2 linked regions of the Tamandua tetradactyla genome follow. The protein of the gene in region 2 binds, or shares a complex with, the protein of the main gene of each other region. Links are inferred from orthologs where the notes say so. Each region holds a gene or a part of one and is shown on either strand. Other genes may lie near its edges. The genes, in order: PRIM1 and POLA1.

Region 1 (9,974 bases), on a different chromosome or scaffold from region 2:
AAATGAAATTAAACTATTTTTTGTATGCTGCATGGCAGGGGTCACATTTCATTCTTTTTCCATTCTTATCTCATTATTGCACACCATTTGTTGAATTTCTGTTTGTTTGTTTTTGCTGGTTGTTTTTTTTTCTTTTTTTGGGGGAAGTGCATGGGCCGGAAATCAAACCTGGGTCTTCTGCATGGCAGGCAAGAATTCTACCACTGTTAAGCTATTTTTTAAAAGTTCTATTACTACATTAAAATTATATAAATGCAAAGACATTTCTTATTTCTGTCAAAGTATAGAAGCTTTAATGCTATTTCATGTAGTCTTAATACCTGTAACTTTTGGTGTTAACTTTTCTTGAAATAAGTGAACGAGAAAAGTAAATTAATTATTCTTTTACTGCAAAGGCGGATACTTATTGTAAAATATGAAATATCTAAAAAATGTAGCTGTGATCTTAACTGATTTATTGATAAGATCATTTACTCTAGAATGTGGATGCTACAAAGGATGGTTTAATTTTGTTATGAAACATATGAGGCTTGGTAACACCTGGCATAAAAGAAATGTAAATTAACATTAAGAGGATCTTACCTTTAAAAGACTCAAATACTCAACTATCCCCGAACGTACTGCGGAGGACAATTTTCTAACTGATTCATCACAGACCCAACAATGAACGCCTCTCCTTCCAGAATATACCCAGAGACGATGCTTGAATCCAAAGTCCTCTGAGGAAAGGAAGAAAAGGATTTAAAACAAACCTACAAAATCCTTGTTCTTGCTTACTTCCTTAGCTTCATTTTAAATCTCTTATTCACATGTGCTTTCCCTGTAACCATACTGAATTATTTGTAGTTTCCCAAGTGCCCCACACTCTTACCTTCATGTCTTTAGCCATCCTGGTCTCTGCCAAGAATTTCTTCATGCCCCAGCACTTCTATTTTTCTCCCTGACTAACTGTCATTTATATCTTTAAAGACTCATCTCAGGATTTTAAAACAGTTAATATATTTCAAGTGTTTTAGAACAGTACCTTGGACACAGTAAGCCTTATATAAGAGTCAGCTGTCATTATTATCATCATCATAGCCACTTCTTCTGGGAAGCCTTTTCTGACCCATTCTCTTCCCATTCCTGTATACACTCCTGTGGCTCTATATCCCCAGAGCACCCTGTGCGTATTACTTAATACAAATGTACCTGTGTCCTTAGAGTGTGTGACCTAATTGAGGGAGGAATTGTTATCTCTCATATTTTCTTTATCTGGAACAGCACCTAGTACATAGAGTTGCCCTATAAATGACTGACTTGGGTAAAAATATACTAGTTTGCTCACCAGCTTTATTAGAATTTCAACTGTAACTTTATTTCAACCTTTTATTTCCCTACCATATGTTTCAAGGAGACATTAAAAATTCAAGAAATCATACTATAAAATGGTACAGATAATCCAATATCCAGAAGAAACAGATTCATCTGACCCCACTCAGATATTGCTGATACTTGCCCTTCAACGCTCGGTCGATGATGTGTATGGCCATTGTCATGAGGGTCCAACACTTAGAACATATGTCTGCGGAACTGGAACAGAGAGGCATCATTATTCACTGTCAGTGACATCACCCACCCCAACAGCAGGGCACCTGGTGCTTACCTACAACATCTCCTCACATCGTCATAGTCTGTCATATCAATGTCAAACACCAGCTCTTTTTCCTGAGCCTGGAAAGCTCCCAGCTTCACAGTATTATATTGACTAGGCTACAAATATAAAATATTTATCAGTTTCTATAAGAGTTGCCATGCTGTTATATCTGCTAATTTTCTACTCACATAGAAAAAAAAGTGGCCAAAGGGAAATGGAGAAACCATAAAATCTAAGTCTATGTTAATGAAGTTTCGTTATCTTGGATCCCCAAATCCAGAATTGATGACAAATTAATTTTCATAAGAGTTTGATAAATATATTCACCATAAATATTTGTTGATTGATAGGAATTATAATGAAACTTTTCAGGTCTCTGATATGAAAAGGTACTTATAAATAATAAATACCCTAAAACAAAGGTTTTTTTTTAAAAAATGTGTCTCCCTACATGTTTTTCTGTATAAATACACACACAGAGAAGCAGATATGTAATATGCATACCACAGCAAATTTGTTTTGTTTTTTTTTGGGTGCATGGGCTGGGAATTGAACCCAGGTCTCCTGCATGGCAGGTGAGAATTCTACCATTGAACTGTCCATTTTCCCCACAACGGGTTTTAAAGATCTTTACTTGTTACTGTATATACAAGTAATAAAGACGTAATTATTTTAAAACGTTCAGTCATTCAAAAGGATCTTCCCAATGCGTTTGAACTGGGCCTTTATAGTCAAGAGGCTATGGTCTCCCAGGTAAAGAAGGCGGACTGAATACAGATACTTCTGTTCCTTTCAGATCCCTTTAAAAACAATAGAAAAGCATTTTTCAAGAAGGCATAACCCTTTTAAAAAAGAACCAAAGAGGAGACAACACCTTCACAATTTTTATAACTAGAATTCTGAAGGGAGTGGTAACTGAGGAGACTCATAAAAGCCAAATCTTAAACTATCAATAAGAAGAGCTAAGAAGCAACCCAATTCATAGCTCAGGATCCCCAAAGGGCTCAGAAAAAGGTATTTCTGGAGTGTGTGTATGTGAAGGATGATGGAGGGGGTTGGTGGTGAGGCTGAGATTAAAAACAGAAGGACTGGTTCAAAACCTATTCAAGAATCTGTTAGCTCCCAAGCTTGTTATATTTACTTTGCAGAGTTGGGAAACTGCTCTTCCTGTGACCTAGCAATAGACACCTAATTTATCATCTGGAGAATGTAGAACAGAGGCTCTCTGCATGGGGGAACAACAGGCACAGTCAAAGGAGTATTCTACTATAATTAGGGGGATTAACTGGACATTTACATATGGAATGTTGAGGACCCATTTCTTTAACCTTCTACTAACAACCCATGCAGAAGACTGGAAGATTCTGAAGAATTTGACCAGATTATGAGGAAATCTCAAGAATATCTGAGTGCCAGACACTTTTCTAGGCCCTAGGAATAGATCAGTGATGAAACCAAAGTTTTCTGCCCTAGTGGAAAAGATCTAGAAAAACTGATAGCAGTGATTCCCCAATAAAGTGGCCTAGCTCAAACTTGAGCAAGGGCCAGTATGGCTGGAGTAGTGAGTCAGGGGGAGAGAAGGGCTTTTATTTTGGATGAAATGAGGAGCCAATGGAGAATAGTTTTGACAGGAACCACAGAACTTGACATTCATTCATTCATACATTCATTTATTTTTGGGTGCATGGTCTGGGGATCGAACCTGGGTTTCCTGCATGTAAGGCATGCATTCTAACATTAAATCACCCGTGTACCCTTTTTTAATTTTATTTTTTAGGAAGTTTTTTTTTTTTTTTTTTGGGCATGTGCAGGCTCCAGGAATCTGACTTGTCTTTAACAGGTTCACACGGAAGCCTGTGTTGAGAACAGACTTCAGAATACAGAGGGACAAACTATTTGGTTTTTATAGCAATTCAGGTGAGAGAAGATGATGGTAGAAGCACTGGTAGCAGTGGGTGGATTTTGATATATATATGGTACAGTCAAAGGGAATTCCTAATCTAAAGGATGTGGGAGTATGAGAGAGGAATCAGGAATAACTCCAGTGCTGGGAGAAAATACAGCTCTTTTTTTGGTTCCCTACTATTGCCTTCCTTGCTAGTCTTTTAGCCAGATATCCACTTTTGTTGTTGTTGTTGCTCTAGTGAGAATGCAACCAATTTACTTCCAATTGATTTCCAATCAGTAATGTACAGTGTCAAAGAACAAAAGATTATAATCTACTTGCAAAAGCTAAATAAGCAGGCCTTAATAGTGCCCTGAACTTAAGTGAACTCTAAAAAATTTATCCCAAAATGCTGGCGGCATCAACTGATCCTTGGTTTAAAAAGCAAAACAACAAAATACAATAAAAAAGATTCCTTACTCTGTGGGAATATACTGCACCTATGTCAATCTTGTATGGATTCATTTTCTGCATCTCCTTTTCCAGTTCACCCTGGTTGTTGAAGGATTGGTAGCGAACGTAAATATCATCTTTCAAAGTGAATGAAAATTCACGGTGTTGAAAATAATTCTTTATCACTGCAAAATAAATTTACATTTTAGAATTAATTAGGTACTTTCTTCATTTCAGGGCATATGACATTAACCAACAAGATATTTAATGAGCTCCCTGTGCCCAACACTGTGCTGATGTACACCAAAGCACAAGACTTGGTCTCTAATTTGAAGGGGTTTACCATTATCTGCTAGGAAAAAACAAAAATGAGGAAAAAGATGCAGAAATATTTTACAATATAATGTTTCCTTGGTGGATGCTAATAAACGAAATCAGCTGCGAAGATGAAAGTACTTTTCCTTCTCCTGGAGACACTGGTCTGTCCCCGATGCAGATCACACCTTTGCAGGTTCAGGCTACAAAATCCCACAAACCCCTGGTTTACGGACCGCAGCAGGTAAATCGGGCTCCAAATGTGAGCCTGACCAGGTGGTGTAGGAGCAGCGGCCCTACCTTTTGCTGTGCGGTCGTAGTCTGGTTATCATACTCTCTTTCGGCCCATGTCCATCTTAAAGGTGGTGAGGGTTCGAGATAATGCATGAAGGCGCCCGGAACAACGCCTAGGCGCACGGAAGGCACACCTAACATTCATTCCAAGAACATCCCGCCCGGAACCTTCTCACACTCCCTCCCGACCCGACTCCTTCCCCGCGTCCATCACCTCCGCCATAGTTGAGCCAGCGATAGTACTGGGCGTAGGGAAAGAGCCTCCGGTAATAAAGGTTAAGCAGTTCAGGCAGCTCGGAGGGATCAAACGTCTCCATAGAGTAACGAGCTCAACTCAGGTAGGACTAGGGCAGGAATTGGCGGGAATCAGCTAGAGTTTACACTAGGGCGCAGGCGCGCTGGCGCGCTGCGACCGCGGCCCGCCTCCTGGCGGGGCCGCCGGGAATTGTAGTTCCCTCTTCGAGGTCAGCCCGGGAGGCGGTCTGCGCTCACTGACAGCCACACTAGGGCAAATGGGCAGAGGAAGCGTCAAGAACCATTCTGGAAAGATGAAAGCTTATTCAAAAGGTGAGCATATCGGCTTAGGTTTTAAAGATGAAGGAAAATAATGTTCCTTGCTAACTTTATAAATGTACACATTGAAACAATGAAAATTGATATCATTTTAAGAGGGTTTGGGAATTAGTTCTTCATGGAGTTATGAGGCCAATAGAGCACCCAGGATTACTGAAATATAAATTAAAGGCAGCTGGAGAATCATGAAATGCTTTACAAGTGTGAAAGGATCCCGTTTGCTATTGATGTAGCACATCTGCCAGGCGGGTAAAGATACATCTCTTTGCAATTGTGATTGAGGTGGGCAGTCTATTAATGATAGCAGTGTGGTGTCACGTGAAAACCATCATTTTCATAAATTTTAGTTTTCACAGTGATGGTAGGGAAGAAGGAGAGAATAGTCTCTTGTAAATTTTGGATTTATATTCCTAATCTTGAAATTGATCATCTTATTCCCTTTAAGTGCTCTGCCATGAGGCCTTTATCCCAAATGCCGCTGGGGGGCAGTGTTGCCATTCAGTTTGTTTTCCTCTCCTGATTTCCAGGCCATTGTTCTTTCACTTCCAAAGATGCAAAGCCCCTTTCTCCATAGGTCTTATTCTCTGTGACTCTACTTTGGCCTTCTTTGGTCAGCACCAGGTCTCTTCCCAAGTTCCTTGCAAACTGGTTCACCCCAAGTGTCTTCATGGGCTTCCCTTCTTCTTAACATCTATTGTTATTTTTGATATTTTTTAGCATCCAAAAGGGTGGTGTTTTTGGTAAAAGTATGGTCCATTCAGTTATTCTTTAATTCATTGATTTACTCAACAAATAGTTAATGAACGTATATGTTGGACACTTTGGTAGGCTCTGGGGAGAAAAAAATTTAATGACATAATATCTACTATCAAGGAAGTTATAGCCTAGTAGGAGTAAGACACAAATCAAATATGGCAATGAAGGGTAATGGATGTATTTGTAACCCAACTGTCTATTAGCATAAGCATGTTCCTTAAGACTTGGATAAAATTGGCTTAGACCCCAAGTCCACGATTTGGAGCATGTCCATGATGTCTAGATTTCTGCAAATCTACAGTGAGCTCACTTTCTCAAGATGTAACCCGGACCTCCTCCGGAATAAAGTCAGTTCAGTTAAGAAATTACTCATCATCTTGCACAAGTTGTCCTTTTTCTGTCTTAATACTAAGGTATTGAACTTACCCATTACTATAATTTTCACACACACACAAACCCACACCATTGTGAGTGTACCATATTAATTGAAGGTTTGAGAAATTTGAAAGCGACTTTACATTAACAATCTAATATGGAGAATTAGACACCCCTGTTTTTCAAAGACCAGCCATACTTGACTATCCTCTTTCTTATCTCTTCTCCCTCTGCCAACTAACTTCTTACTGCCAGGTTCCTGTTCTTTTGTAGAGCAGTTTGGCTTTCTCTTGTGCCCCTGAGGTGTCACCTTCCTACAGCTGGTCTTGGCCAAAAGGGTGAGAAGTGATCACCTTCCACTCTAGAGACAAATTGTATTAGTTTACTAAAGAAAGTTTCCTCCCTAAAAGAATTTCTGTGCCAACTATTAAAATAATTATTGTGGTTTTTTTTTTTTTTTTTTTTTTTTTTACCCTCACCACACTTTACTAGAAATATATAAGGGGTAAACTTAAAATCACAAAATAATGAGTGGTGAATTTTCCTTTTAAATAGGGGACAGCAATAGTTCCTAGACAAGGTAGAATTGAAGTGCTCCTGGAAAGATGAGTGTGGTTTGCTAGGTTGCAACGGAGGAAATTTCTAAGCAGAGCAGTTATAGGGAACACAGGGTCAAAGGTCTTAATGGTATGGCACATGAAAGAAACTGTCAACAGTTCCCTAGTGACAGAGCTCAAACTTCAGGGGAAGGCATCCTTAGAGTCAGCCACAGTGGTTTTGCATACCAAGCTAAGGAGTGTGGAAAAAAATTACTTCCCTTCTGCTTTTGTTAAGCTTTGGATATAATGAAAATAAAATTCTGATCATATCAGTATTTGATGAGAAATCTTGGAAGTGAATAATCTTTTTGAAACAAGTAAGTTGTTTGAAAATTTGAAGTATTTCTGTGCAAGTTATTTTTCTTCTCAGTTAGATAAGGAATAGGAGGTTAGAGAATATGTTCTGTTGATACAAGAGTATAATAAACAAAGGGAGGTTATCTAAATGGGATCAAGGTCATATCTAAGTTTTTGTTTTCTTGGTTGTTGTTTGCTTATTTGTTTGTTTTGGGAAGTGCATGGGCCATGAATTGAACCTGGGTCTCTCACACGGCAGGTGAGAATTCTACCACTGAACTACCCTTGCACCCTGCCCCCCCCATCTAAGTTTAAGCATGAAAGGTCCTGGCTCTTGTTACCACAAAATACTGAAAAGTAGCAAGGAGACCCTCATATTCATTTAATAAAAAAGCTTTAGTTAAATGTCACAAGAATGTTTCCTTTAACCACAAAGGAAGTGATGACCACCAAGGCAATAAAACATGTCTTACAGGATATTGAAATTGCTCTTTAATTATATATATTGGGTTTGGTATAGAAAATGGAATGTTTTTACTAAGCTGTAAATGATCTCAGCATACTTATAATAAGTAATCTGGCACTATATATACCGTGTAGGTTTTTCTGACAAATCATAAAGCTACATACTATTTGGGTCTAGCTTTCTTCTTGCAGAATACTTGAAATAAAGGATGGCTCTAGCAGATTCAAATCCAACATCAAGCCTTGTTCCTCCACGGGAATTTGGATTTGTTGTGAAGACAGTAGGAGCTATGGGAAGGTTTTAAAAAGGGGAGGAACATAATCAGAGTTGTGTTTTAGAAGTAAACTCTGGAAATAAACTATGGAGCCCTGTGGAGGACAACAGAAGGGAGAGAGCAACTGAGGTAGAGCGCTCCTGGGAAACTTGCTATAATCCAGGTGAGAGGTACTCATGGTTTGAACAAAGGTAGAAAAGTGGAGATGAAGGGAATTGGGTGGACATAACTGACTTTAGGAGGTAGAATTAATATTGATTGGACATGGGGAGTGAGGGACAGGAAGGGGTCTAGGATGATAGCCAGATTTCAGGCTTGGTAACCTGATGGAAGGGGGTTTTCTGGCACCCAGTAGTCACTAGTTAACTTTTCTATGTGTTGAATAAATGTGCAGATATGAAATACATGAGTATAAGGAGAAGAATCAGTTTGCAGTGAGGTATCATTTCTATTTTAAATAAGTTGAGTTGGAGGTACTGCTAAGATACTCCCTGTAAGCACCATATACTTTTCTTTCATATCCTTTATCATAGTGTTCAGCTATGTATTTATTTGTGAGAACATGTTTATTTTCCCTACTAAGCCTGTAAGCTCTAAGAATTCAAATATCATGTTTATTTTACTCACCTGTGTATCTATAGCATAATAGGGACCCTATATTTACGGAATGAAATGGATGAACCCAGTGCAGATGTCCAGCAGATAGTTAGATCTGAGGGGCTAGATCTGGACTGAAGTTAGGGATGTCCAAGTGTCTAACTCAGAGAGATTGCCAAACAAGGAGGCTGTGTGCAGTGATAAGAGAGGAAGGACCTGGAAAAAAAATCTTAAGGGTACTGACTTCAGAAATTGAGTAGAGGAGGGGAAACCAACAAAGGACAATGAGAACGAATGGTAGTAGAAGCAGGAAAGCTAGGAGAGAATGATTTTACAGGGGCAAAGGGAGCACAAGAGAAATGTGAAAGGATAAACATGGTCAATTAAGATAAGGACTGAGAAGAGAACTCAGCTTGGGCAATCAGGAAGTTACTGATGACCTCTGCCAGATTTGTTTTATGGAATAGTCAGGGCAGCATACAGACTTCAGGGAGTTGAGGAAGGAATAGATGGTTCCTCCTCCTGTTTTTCTGAACTTGTTTACTGGCACCATCACCACCAACCCAGTTGGTGGGCCCTTCCTCTGCCTCACTCCTACCCCTAAGGTGTTAATAATCCCTTTTATTTCTAACATTCCTGGAATATGTCCTCTCCTCTCCATCCCCATTTCCACTGCCTGAGTCCAGATTCTTATTGTCTCTAATTTAGATTGGTGCAGTAGACTCCTGATTGTTCTCCCCATTTCCAGTATTGCTCCATCTTTTCCACTGTTGTAGGGGTAAGATTCTTCAGTGGCTCCCCGGATTCATTCCTATCAGACTCCAGTTAGTTCTTTGATTCCCTCCCTTGCAGCTTTGCTTTAGTCATATAAAACAGCCTTTACCTGATGCTCTTCCATGATTCCAAGGTTTCGTACATGCTATTCATAATGCCATTTTCTGCTGATGAATGTCTTCCGATTAGTTTCCCTCTTTTGTGAAGCCTTTTTCTTCCTTCTTTCAGAGATAGGTCTTCCTGTATCTCCTGATCTTTATTATGAACTACTACAAGTATGCAGAGAATAAATAACACCCTTTTATCCATTGCCTAGATTTGACAAATATTTACATTTTCTGTATTTTTTTTTCAGATACGGTTAAGGGCCCTTGAAAACTCTTTCCTCTCTTCCTGAAGGTAACCATTTTCCTGAATTTGGCATATGATTTTCAGTACCATTCAATTGCTTTTATACGCATGTATTTTTTATAAACAATATGTGATATTATTTTGCCTGTTTTAAAAATGTATATGAATGGGGATCATACTTTACATGTATAAATATAATCATACTGTGGTTAGTATTTACTACTTGCTGCTTTTGCTGTATATGATAGTACATTTTAAAAACCTCTTCTCTAGGACCTGTTGCACTGTATGGTATTCGTTTCCTTAGGGCAGAGCCTTTCTTCTTATTC
Region 2 (10,472 bases):
GATGTGTTTCCTGTAGACAGCATATAGAAGGATCCTGTTTTTTAATCCATTCTGCCAATCTATGTCTTTTGATTGGGGAATTCAGTCCATTGACATTTAGTGTTATTACTGTTTGGATAATATTTTCCTCTAACATTTTGCCTTTTGTATTATATATATCATATCTGATTTTCCTTCTTTCTACACTCTTTTCCATATCTCTCTCTTCTGTCTTTTTGTATCTGACTCTAGTGCTCCCTTTAGTATTTCTTGCAGAGCTGGTCTCTTGGTCACAAATTCTTTCAGTGACTTTTTGTCTGAGAATGTTTTAATTTCTCCCTCATTTTTGAAGGATAATTTTGCTGGATATAGGAGTCTTGGTTGGCAGTTTTTCTCTTTTAGTATTTTAAATATATCATCCCACTGTCTTCTAGCTTCCATGGTTTCTGCTGAGAAATCTACACAAAGTCTTATTGGGTTTCCCTTGTATGTAATGGATTGTTTTTCTCTTGCTGCTTTCAAGATCTTCTCTTTCTCTTTGACCTCTGACATTCTAACTAGTAAGTGTCTTGGAGAACGCCTATTTGGGTCTAATCTCTTTGGGGTGCGCTGCACTTCTTGGATCTGTAATTTTAGGTCTTTCATAAGAGTTGGGAAATTTTCAGTGAAAATTTCTTCCATTAGTTTTTCTCCTCCTTTTCCCTTCTCTTCTCCTTCTGGGACACCCACAACACGTATATTTGTGCGGTTCATATTGTCCTTGAGTTCCCTGATACCCTGTTCAAATTTCTCCATTCTTTTCCCGATAGTTTCTGTTTCTTTTTGGGATTCAGATGTTCCATCCTCCAAATCACTAATTCTATCTTCTGTCTCTTTAAATCTATCATTGTAGCTATCCATTATTTTTTCTATGTTTGCTACTTTATCCTTCACTTCCATAAGTTCTGCGATTTGTTTTTTCAGTTTTTCTATTTCTTCTTTATGTTCAGCCCATGTCCTCTTCATGTCCTCCCTCAATTTATCGATTTCATTTTTGAAGAGGTTTTCCATTTCTGTTCGTATATTCAGGATTAGTTGTCTCAGCTCTTGTGTCTCATTTGAGCTATTGGTTTGTTCCTTTGACTGGGCCATATTCTCAATCTTTTGAGCGTGGACAGTTATCTTCTGCTGCTGGCGTCTGGGCATTTATTCAGATTTCTCTTGGTGTTGGACCCAGCAAGGTTGTAATACTTTTCTGTGAAATCTCTGGGTTCTGTTTTTCTTATCCTGCCCAGTAGGTGGCGCTCGTGGCACACGTTTGTCTGCGGGTCCCACCAGTAAAAGGTGCTGTGGGACCTTAAACTTTGGAAAACTCTCGCCGTCCTGGGGGTTCGCTAGCCGAAGCGGCTTGAGCCGGCCCTCGGTCCGAACGCAGGGCGGGTTGCTGGTCGCCGCAGCCAGGGAAAGAGCCCGTCCGAATTTCCTAGTCGGCCCTGGGCAACAAGTGTGGCGGGAGGGCGCCAGCGGCAGCGGCCCGCCCGAGAGAGTGCACGTTCCCCGGGAGTCACGGGTTTGGAAGGGGCCTCCCCCACCCGTCACCGTTCTCCGCGGGCTGGGGGTTTCCGATCCAATTCTCTCAGTTGGTCCGGGGGCTGCGCGTGGTGTGGGCGCCAGCCGTCTTTGTTTCAGGGGACCGCCTCTCCAATTCTCCCAGCCGGCCCGGGAAGGGGGAAGGGAGTAACTCCGGCCGCTTGCCACCCCGCCCGGTAAGGCCCGCGCGCCTCGGCGATCTCACCCGAGCTGCTTCTCTCAGCCAGCCAGCCGTTCCAGGATGGGGTACGCTGTCTTTTTTATCTCTGTTGTGGCTTTGGGCGCTTTCTGTATCGTTTCTACTCCCCTAGTAGGTGTCCTGGAGAAGAAACTAAGATCCGCGCGTCTTACTAAGCCGCCATCTTCCAGGAAGTGATCAACATATGAAACAAGAAAATGTTTAAAGATGTTTCCCTTTCTTCCTTCCTTCCTTCCTTCTATCCTTCCTTCCTTCTCTCTGTCTTTCCTTTAAAAAAAAAAAAAAAAAAAATATACTGCTTACAGTAGGATTACACCCACAGAAGTGGATTAGATTTAAAAACATGTTTTTTTCTGGGGTTCATATAACTTCAAACTACTACATTAGTTTTATTTTGCAGTAACTTGGTAAAACAACTTAGATCCAAGCACAGAAATGTCTTCAAAGTTTGTTGATCCATTAGGCCATTAATAAAACTTCTCAAAGATGCTAGAGTGACAAGACAAGTAACTTGGAAATTGTTTCACTTCCTCATAACAATTATTTTAATGGATTGCTGGGGGGTGGTTGCAGACATTTTTCTCACTAACAGAAAAACTTTCAGCCTGGTGTAGAACTGTCTTGGCAAGAAACTGAACATGATATGTTTAGTAATTACCTCTATATACTTCCCAGGCTTTTTGCTGTCTGCCAGCAGGCCTTTCATGATACAACATTTTTGTGCTTAACCCTAGAACCCAGTTCCTTGTATTTTTCTCTTTTTCCCTTACCCTTTCACCATTTTCTCACTTACCAAGGTAAAAGGGAATCTTAATTTTCAACTGTGACTCTGAAGAATTTATTATTATTATTATTATTTTATAATTAAAATTTTTTTAAAACATAACAACAAACAAACATGAAAATCTTACCATATGATCATTCCATTCTTGGTATATAATCAACAACTCACTGAAGAAGTTATTTTGCTGGAGAGACAACAAGTTCAAGGATTTTTAAGAACTTTTCCACCTCTAAATGTCCTTGACCATAGACAATGCAATTTGTGATTATAAGAGAAACACAGTTGAACCTCCTGTGAAAATACGAGGAAAATATGAGGAAAAGAGCAACATACAACATTTCCAAACTTTTGATTCAGGAAAATGAAATTAAATATCTTGAAACAAATCTAAGTAGTTAGGAAACTTCTTGCTTGACCTGGAATCAAAACCAAGATTTGGAAATGGCTTTGCTTCTCTTCACACTGGTCTCCAAAGAAGAACAAAATGTAGGGTGGCTCAGTGGAAGTGTTCTGCATAAATGGTAACTTGGCAGAAATGCCAAAGAAAGAAAAAATTCTGTACCACAGTAGTGTAACTGCTCTAGCTAGGATTAGGGAGAAGAGGGTCATGTGTGTTGGGGTGGCATCAAAATCTTAACTAGCCACAAACAATTGGAAATCGAAATTTAAAAAGCAAGACGAATTTATAATAGCATTAAAAACATGACATTCTTAGGGATAAAGTTAACAAAATATGTACAAGATAGATGTGTTAAAAAACTACAAAAGATCGGTGAAAAAAGTTAAAGAAAATAAATAAAAAGAAATAGAAAAAGTTCAGCAGTACCTCATCTAGACCACTTGGTCTCACCCTTGGTGTACATTGGAGTCCCATCCTCAGAAAGTCTGATTTAATAGGCCTGGGAAGCTACTAGGTAATGGAATCCCACCAGGTTCAAAGACATAGCATCAATCCACAGATGACTTTCAGAACTTGGAATCTAATAGAATTTGCCCTGCTGGGGTTCAGATTTGCTTGGGACCCATGAATCCTTTTTTACTTCCAATTTTTCCCTTCCATAATGGGAATATCTACCCTATGCCTGTCCCACTATTGTATTTTGGAAACTTGTTTTCTAGGTTTCACAAATCCACAGACTAAGAGGAATTTTGCCACGGGATGGACCACACCCATCTAGCTGATTTTGATGAGACTTTGGATTTAGAATTGTTACTGAAATGGCTTAAGACTTTTGGGATCTTGGGATGGGGTGAATGTGTTTGTATGTGGGAAGGACATGGTTTTTTAGGGTCCAGAGGGCAGAGTACAATGGATGGAATTGTGTCACTCCCAAAAGATATGTTTGCATCCTAACCCCTGGTTCTATGATTGTGAACTTATTTATAAGTAAGAGTTTTGAAGATATTATTAGTTAAGATGGGCCAATCAGGACTTTCTGATATGATTGGTGCCCTTATAAGGAGAGGAAGTCTGGACATAGAGAGGCAGAGGCAGAGAGAGAGATTGAATTATGCTACCAGCGAAGGAACTTCATGGATTCCTTATCACTGTCAGAACCCTACAGAAGAAGCGTGCCTCTGCCGACACCATGACTCAGACTACTGGCTTACAGAATTTACAGAAACAATACATTTCTGTTCTTTAAGCCAACTAGTCTATGGTACTTTGTTACAATAGCCCTACGAAACCAAGACAACCAGACTGGATATTTATAAGAACACCAAAAGGCCAATGGTAATAAAATTGCTCATTTTAATAGCTGTGAAGATAATCTAGACCAGAACCTAGGGGATTGTGGCAGGCTTAACCTTGGGGTGGTTAAAACTTGGAGGAGGCCTAGAATATGCCAGGTTGAGAGAGGTGTGAGGCTTTGCATGTGCTGGGGTGGAATGGGGGTGGGGGTGAAAGCGCAAAAGCCACTCTCTTCTGCCAGCACTGCTCCCCTGCTTCAAATTGAACTATCTAAGCATAATTTAGAAATCAGGATTTAAAGGATGATTTTGATTACTGAATCATTACATAGACAGTCCTTTTTGCTTTCTGGTATATTGGAGAAGATAGAGGGAAAATACTGAAATCTCTAAATTGTAACCCAGCTGCCTTGATCTCTGATAATGATCGTATGGCCTTTATCTTCTGCCCCTGTGATTGCAAAAACCTTGTGACTAACCTTCATTCATACGGAGTTATCCAGTTTTTAACTTTAGAAGTCTTGTCATTACTAAAGACAGCCCCTAATGTTTATTAATGAAGGGTCTTGAGGCCCAGACCTAACCCACTCCAAGTCCAAAGTAATCTTGAGAACCGAGACTGGATCTAAGCAAAATGGATCGGGTTGACATGTGCAGTAGCTTAGACTTTAACCTAAAAGTCACCTATACATCGTTCTGCCATTTTCTTACACATGTTCTGTGACTAAGCATGTAATCAATCTGTGCATGCTCAATAATTAGATTGCCTCTAATTATATCATCTGGGGCCACTGTGGTCATTATCCTAAACCTCACCCATCTTTTCTATAATAAAACTATCAGAATTGCTGCAGTTCAAGGAGACAGATTTTGAGTCACTACGCCATCTGCTCTCTTACTGTGCACCTAGTAATAAAATTCTTTCTCTCTGAAACCCCGGTGTCTCAGGAATTGGTTATTGAGCACATCGGGTAAATGAATTCACGGCCTTTAGTAACATAACTGAGTTCATTTTGGGGTGATTAAGATAATTTCTCTCGAAGAAGTAAAATACACACTCTGTGTATCATTTTTCCTTTAACTTTTTATTTACGAACAGAAAAGTTTTGCCACATTTGCTTTATCTCTCTTTGCTAGACAATTATGTCACGCCTAAGCATCTCCTTAGAATACGGACATTCTCCTGCACAACCAAAACTTATCACCCCAAAGAAATTCAACACCGCTCTAACAATAGCTTATATTAAATTCCCCAATGTTCTCAAATAATATTCTTTACAGCTTTGTTTTTAATATGCAAGCTCTGATCAAGGCTCAAGTTGTTCTGTCTCTCTGATCCCCTCACCACTTTTTTTGTCTTTCGTAACGTTAACATTTTAGAAGAGTTTAATACAGATATTTTATAAGTTGTCCTACACTTTAGATACGTCTGATTGTTTCCTCACGGTTAGATTCAGGTTTAACGTTTTTTGCAAGATTACAGAGGTGATGTTCTTTTTTTCAAGCGCATCGTATCAGAGGCATATGAGGTCAGATTGCCCCTTACTTATTAGTGACGCTGTTTTGGCCATTTGATTAGGGTCGTGTATATACCTTTAAGTGGTGGCTTATTAAAAAAAAATTCACATAACAACCTTTAACAATGTGAGAGGCAAAGTATCTAGCAAAACTCAGAGCGCACAGCAGGAGGCAGTCGCTTTCCCAGGCTTCTGGAAATACAGTCCGACCACGCCCACTATCCTGCCCGCCCGCGCCTCTTTTCCCAGAAAATCAACTCTCAGAACCAGGGAGCCTCTATTCCCACGCGCCCAAGTCTTTTCCTTCAGCATGCGTGCGCCTGCGCAGCGAGTCTCCAGAGGGCTCCTTTCCAGCGCCCGGCCGCTTCTTTCTCCTCCTCTCCAGCGGCCCCGGCTCAGCTCTAACCTTCCCTAAGGGGTCATCACAGGGCGCCAAACGCGAGCCCGCGGCAAGGCCAGGGGCGGGGCCCAGCGCGGCGGCACGTAAGTGGCCTTCCGGGCGGAAGTCCACAGCCTCGGGAGCCGCTGATTGGCTTTCGGGCTGGCGCCTGTTTCGGCCCCCGCGCCAGTTTCGGGCTGGTTGGCGCGGAATCGGGAGATTCGGAACCATGGCGCCGGTGCATGGCGACGACTGCGAGCCGGGGGCAAACGGTGAGGGACGGCCTCGCGCGCGGGATGTCTAGTTGGGAGTGTGGGGACTGCGGCAGGAGTGCAGGTGGTGCAGATTTTGGGGGTTCTCCCTAATTTTTTTCTCAGGGTGGCGTGGACCACCGTCGTCTTGGGCGGGAGACCTTACAGTATAGGACCGGGCTTTCTTCCAGGGCCATTTGCTTCTAGCAAACCCGTGCAACACCTTGCGTGTCTTTTCTGTTTGGGAGGCTGCTTCACCTCTGTCACTGAGGGTCACCGCACTTGCCCTTCTTTATTTTTATTTCTTTTGGTCACTTGCACCGCACGTGTTGGGCCTATCTTTGAGACTGGTGTGGGCACTATCTTGGCTGAAAGTGTTTCACTACTTCGGTGCCAAATATCCGTTTAAGAGCTAGGATTGAATAGATGTGCGCCCCCCTTTCTAAGAACTGCGAGGAAAATTGTTATGTGTTGTAACTTAACAGGAAAGAAAGCTCTAAGTGCTGTCACTAGATACGAATGCATTTTGTATTTTTAGGTAATGGGTTTCTACTTTATGCATTAACAGTTTTTTCTTTCAGCTTCAGTGCAAAGTTTTTCAAGTGCTGCATAGAAATAGTGTTCACAATCTAGTCATTTCGGGTGAAGTTTCTGAAAAAAAAAATGCACCAGTTGGGCAGCATTTTGGATGCCTTGTGTATCATTCAGTTACAAATGATTTTTTATTTCCAAAAATAGAATAAAAAAATGTAAATGGCTTTGTCTGATTTCTGATTTTTGAACAGTGTTCAACTAAAGTGTGACTTCTTCGCTGAGCTCCTAACTTAAAATCAAATGCTTCACTTTCTTACTCAAGCTTCATATCTCCTGCCACTCAGATATATCACCATTAATGAGAACTTGCTCCCTAATCAGCTTCCTTTTGCATTCACCTAGTTGTGAATCACACATTTCAATTTGTTCTAGCCTTCCGTTTTTTAAGACAATTTATTCTGGAGCGTTAACTGGCCTGGATTACAAATGGGATGTAAGGTGTGAGTGTGTCTTTGCAGCCCTCTATCAGTGATTTGCCACTAAGCCTTTCTTTCTAAAAACTGTACGTCATCCCTGAACATCAAGAAATCACTCTGGATGATACTGTGCAATCTTGAGACCCCTTTTAAGTCATGGTATTTGATTAAGTAGTTGCTGGGCACTTGTGACTGGAATCTTTCCTTTAGAGCAGACTGAACTGAAAGATTGTTGGCTGAAAGACTGTTGGAGGTGAGTCTATCTGCTTTTGGGGCAGATGGTGGTATTATAAATGGTAATTGTGAATCACATAAACTTTTGTTCTTGGGTTTTTTCATGCTTATTATTATTTTTGCTAACTACACGAAACATCGGAAACGTACCCCAAAAAGGAAAATCTAGGCCTTTTTTTTCTTAAGTGTTAGAATGGGGTACCTTGACAATGCTGTGAAAAGTTGAAAGGTCTATAGCTGGCTGCTATTATATATAAAAAGAGACCAGGGAGAGTTTAATGATCAAAAACGCAGATGTAATAGTTCATTTATTTGTTCATCCAGCAAATATTTATTATGTACCTACTAGGCATAGTCATTCTGCCAGGCTCTGTTAAACGGTGGGTAGACTCGACATGGTTTCTGTCCTTAGTGCAGTTGAGATGATAAACATTTAATTATTTGCAGTACTATGTTGAGACTTCCCTGAGAAAGTTGTTTTGCTTTATTTCTGTTTTCTAAAAGCTAGAGCATTGTACTGCCAGGAATGAGTGTGTACATATATATGTATATGTCACTGCCCTGCATCTCTATACACACACGGACTCCTCTTGTATTGCTAGGTACAAAGTAAGATAAGCATCTTCATTTAATCCTTACCAACTTTACAAAGCAGACATGATTATCCCCATTTCATAGATGACGGCGCTGAGGCTCTGCATTAGTCAGAATCCTTAGCGTAAGCTATAGGAACCAATTCTAACTGATTTAAATAGAAAAATAATTTATTAGAATGTTATTGGGGTTTTCACAGAAACTCCAGGAGGACAGGAGAGCCAGTGTGAGGGTTGCTTAGCCAGGAACAGTGCTTAAAATTGTGCTACTAAACTGGTTCAATGAGGAGGTAATTCTCAAATGGCCAGCTACTTGATGCTTTAGCTTGTACCTTGCAGCATTGGGCGTTGTTGCTCCAGACACTCAATCCTCCTCTAACTGTTGCTACTTTCATAATCTTCTTTAAGGCCCCCTTCCACCTCCTTGTGACATTAGCTTCTAATTTAAAGTCTGAGAAGGTGTTTCTAACTAGTAGAGCCTAGTTTATATGCTTCTGCCCTAGCTGCTAGGGAATCTGGGAAAGGGCATCTGGCCTTTTCAGCTTAAGTAGTGGGATGTGGGCTCTCTCTCCCAGCAAGACTTGTCAGGAGGGAATCTCACAACCAGTTTCAGAAGCTGGGCAGCTTAAAAACAAAACAAATCAAGGCTCAGAGAGGTTAACTGGTGGTCTGATGTAGCCCAGTAAATGGCAGAGCTGGGATGTGCTGCTTTTCTAAATCTGGTTCTTCCACTCACTCTACACTCTCACATTGAACTTACCTGAAGGTGTTAATACTGACTTTATCTCTTGGTTTCTGAATACATGCTGCATTTTTATACCTCTAATTTGGGTCATGCCTTTTCTTCTGTTTGTGCCACTTTTTACCCTGTTCTCTAATGGTGAGATCTACTCTTCTTTCTAGGCCTATATTTGAAATCTCTCTGTGAAACCTTTCCTGATTTCTCATGCAGAATTTAATGGCTCTTTTTTCTACATTTTCTCAGTACTATGTTCTTTTTTTCTTTGGTATGCTGCATGGTGGGGGGGGGGGTCACATTTCATTCTTTTTCCATGTTAGTATCCTGTTATTGCAGCACCATTTGTTGAATTTTTGTTTGTTTGTTTTTCCTTTCTTTGTTTGCTTCTTTTTGGGGGGAGGGGGAGAGTGCAGGGGCAGAGTGCAGGGGCGGGGAATTGAACCCCGTGGTCTCCCACATGGCAGGCCAGAATTCTACCACTGAACTACCCTTGCACCGCCCCCCTCCCAGTACTGTGTTCTTATATGGTGCTATGTTTATATTAGGGTGGTAGTCTCAGGTCCTTTTGTTCTACTTGGCTGTGAACCCCTTGAGGATAGGCAGCTCAGTTTTATTTGTAACTATCCCAAACTCTGTTAGAGTGGAACATTGTTGTTTGTAGAATAAGTCAATTTGAAAACCTACAGATTTTGTCAGGTATACTAAATGAGTCAATGGATTCTTGAAGAGTACACTGAGGCCAACTTTTCATTCAATGGTCATGTTCAGATATCTCTGAAACCTTTTCGTGTAGGTCTGCTCCTGATTTTGTGAAATTATTTGAGTGTCACACAAGATTTTGTCATCATCAAGTACCTGCGTTCCTTAATTTTTACGTAATACCTTTCTGAAAATGGATTTAAAAGTCAACTGTGAAAGTTAAACAATAGGCCTTAAAATCTAGAATCACCACAGAGCCTCATTGTCAAATTCCCCCAAACCTCAATCTATTCCTCCTTTGAAACTCCAGGTGCCTTATCTGTGCCTCTGTTAGGGCATGTGTTACTTCCAAATATTGTTGTAGAATCACTTGCTACTTACTGCCCACATTAGATTATAGGTTCTGTGAGTACAAGAACCATGTGTGTTTTTCATCTTTGTGGCTCTCATAGCACCTAGTACTTAACTGGATTTTAACTAGATTTTACCACAAATTTCTGAAGAGTCACAGGAGCTTTGTAGATTATTATACATTATAAAAGTATCCATTTGTATAAAATTAAGATTATTTATTACTACTGGCTAGAAATATTCCTTTGTTTTGAGGGAAGATGACTGACAGTTTTCTAACGTCTCATGTGAATTTGTTTTTTTTTTCCAGCTGTGTCAGATTCTGGGAGTTTTGTAGCTTCTAGATCCCGGCGAGAAAAGAAATCAAAGAAAGGACGCCAAGAAGCTCTAGAAAGACTAAAAAAAGCTAAAGCTGGTGAAAAATATAAATATGAAGTAAGCAAACATTTTTCTATTTTTTTTCCTCCTGTGCATCA

The links.
Region 1: the proteins of POLA1 (region 2) and PRIM1 are in contact, whole or in part, in a cryo-EM structure (PDB 7OPL), measured with the Homo sapiens proteins. The link is inferred for Tamandua tetradactyla from reciprocal best matches to the Homo sapiens genes POLA1 and PRIM1. Residues at the interface, in NP_058633.2 of Homo sapiens: Tyr439, Ala440, Pro447, Glu448, Lys449, Ser450, Phe876, Thr877, Thr878, Gln880, Leu906; in NP_000937.1 of Homo sapiens: Asn92, Thr93, Val94, Lys95, Leu96, Gly97, Ala98.

Annotation. Positions count from the first base shown.
Region 1 is NC_135333.1:123,842,307-123,852,280, forward strand, and holds the start of PRIM1 (DNA primase small subunit), read right to left. Parts: upstream 4,971-9,974; 5' UTR 4,901-4,970; coding exon 4,798-4,900; intron 4,160-4,797; coding exon 4,002-4,159; intron 1,753-4,001; coding exon 1,646-1,752; intron 1,573-1,645; coding exon 1,499-1,572; intron 720-1,498; coding exon 583-719; intron 1-582. Other genes in the region: 17-beta-hydroxysteroid dehydrogenase type 6-like, read left to right, coding at 5,096-5,150. UniProt on the Homo sapiens protein: Catalytic subunit of the DNA primase complex and component of the DNA polymerase alpha complex (also known as the alpha DNA polymerase-primase complex - primosome/replisome) which play an essential role in the initiation of DNA synthesis.
Region 2 is NC_135353.1:149,484,013-149,494,484, reverse strand, and holds the start of POLA1 (DNA polymerase alpha catalytic subunit), read left to right. Parts: upstream 1-6,291; 5' UTR 6,292-6,348; coding exon 6,349-6,391; intron 6,392-10,306; coding exon 10,307-10,431; intron 10,432-10,472. UniProt on the Homo sapiens protein: Catalytic subunit of the DNA polymerase alpha complex (also known as the alpha DNA polymerase-primase complex) which plays an essential role in the initiation of DNA synthesis.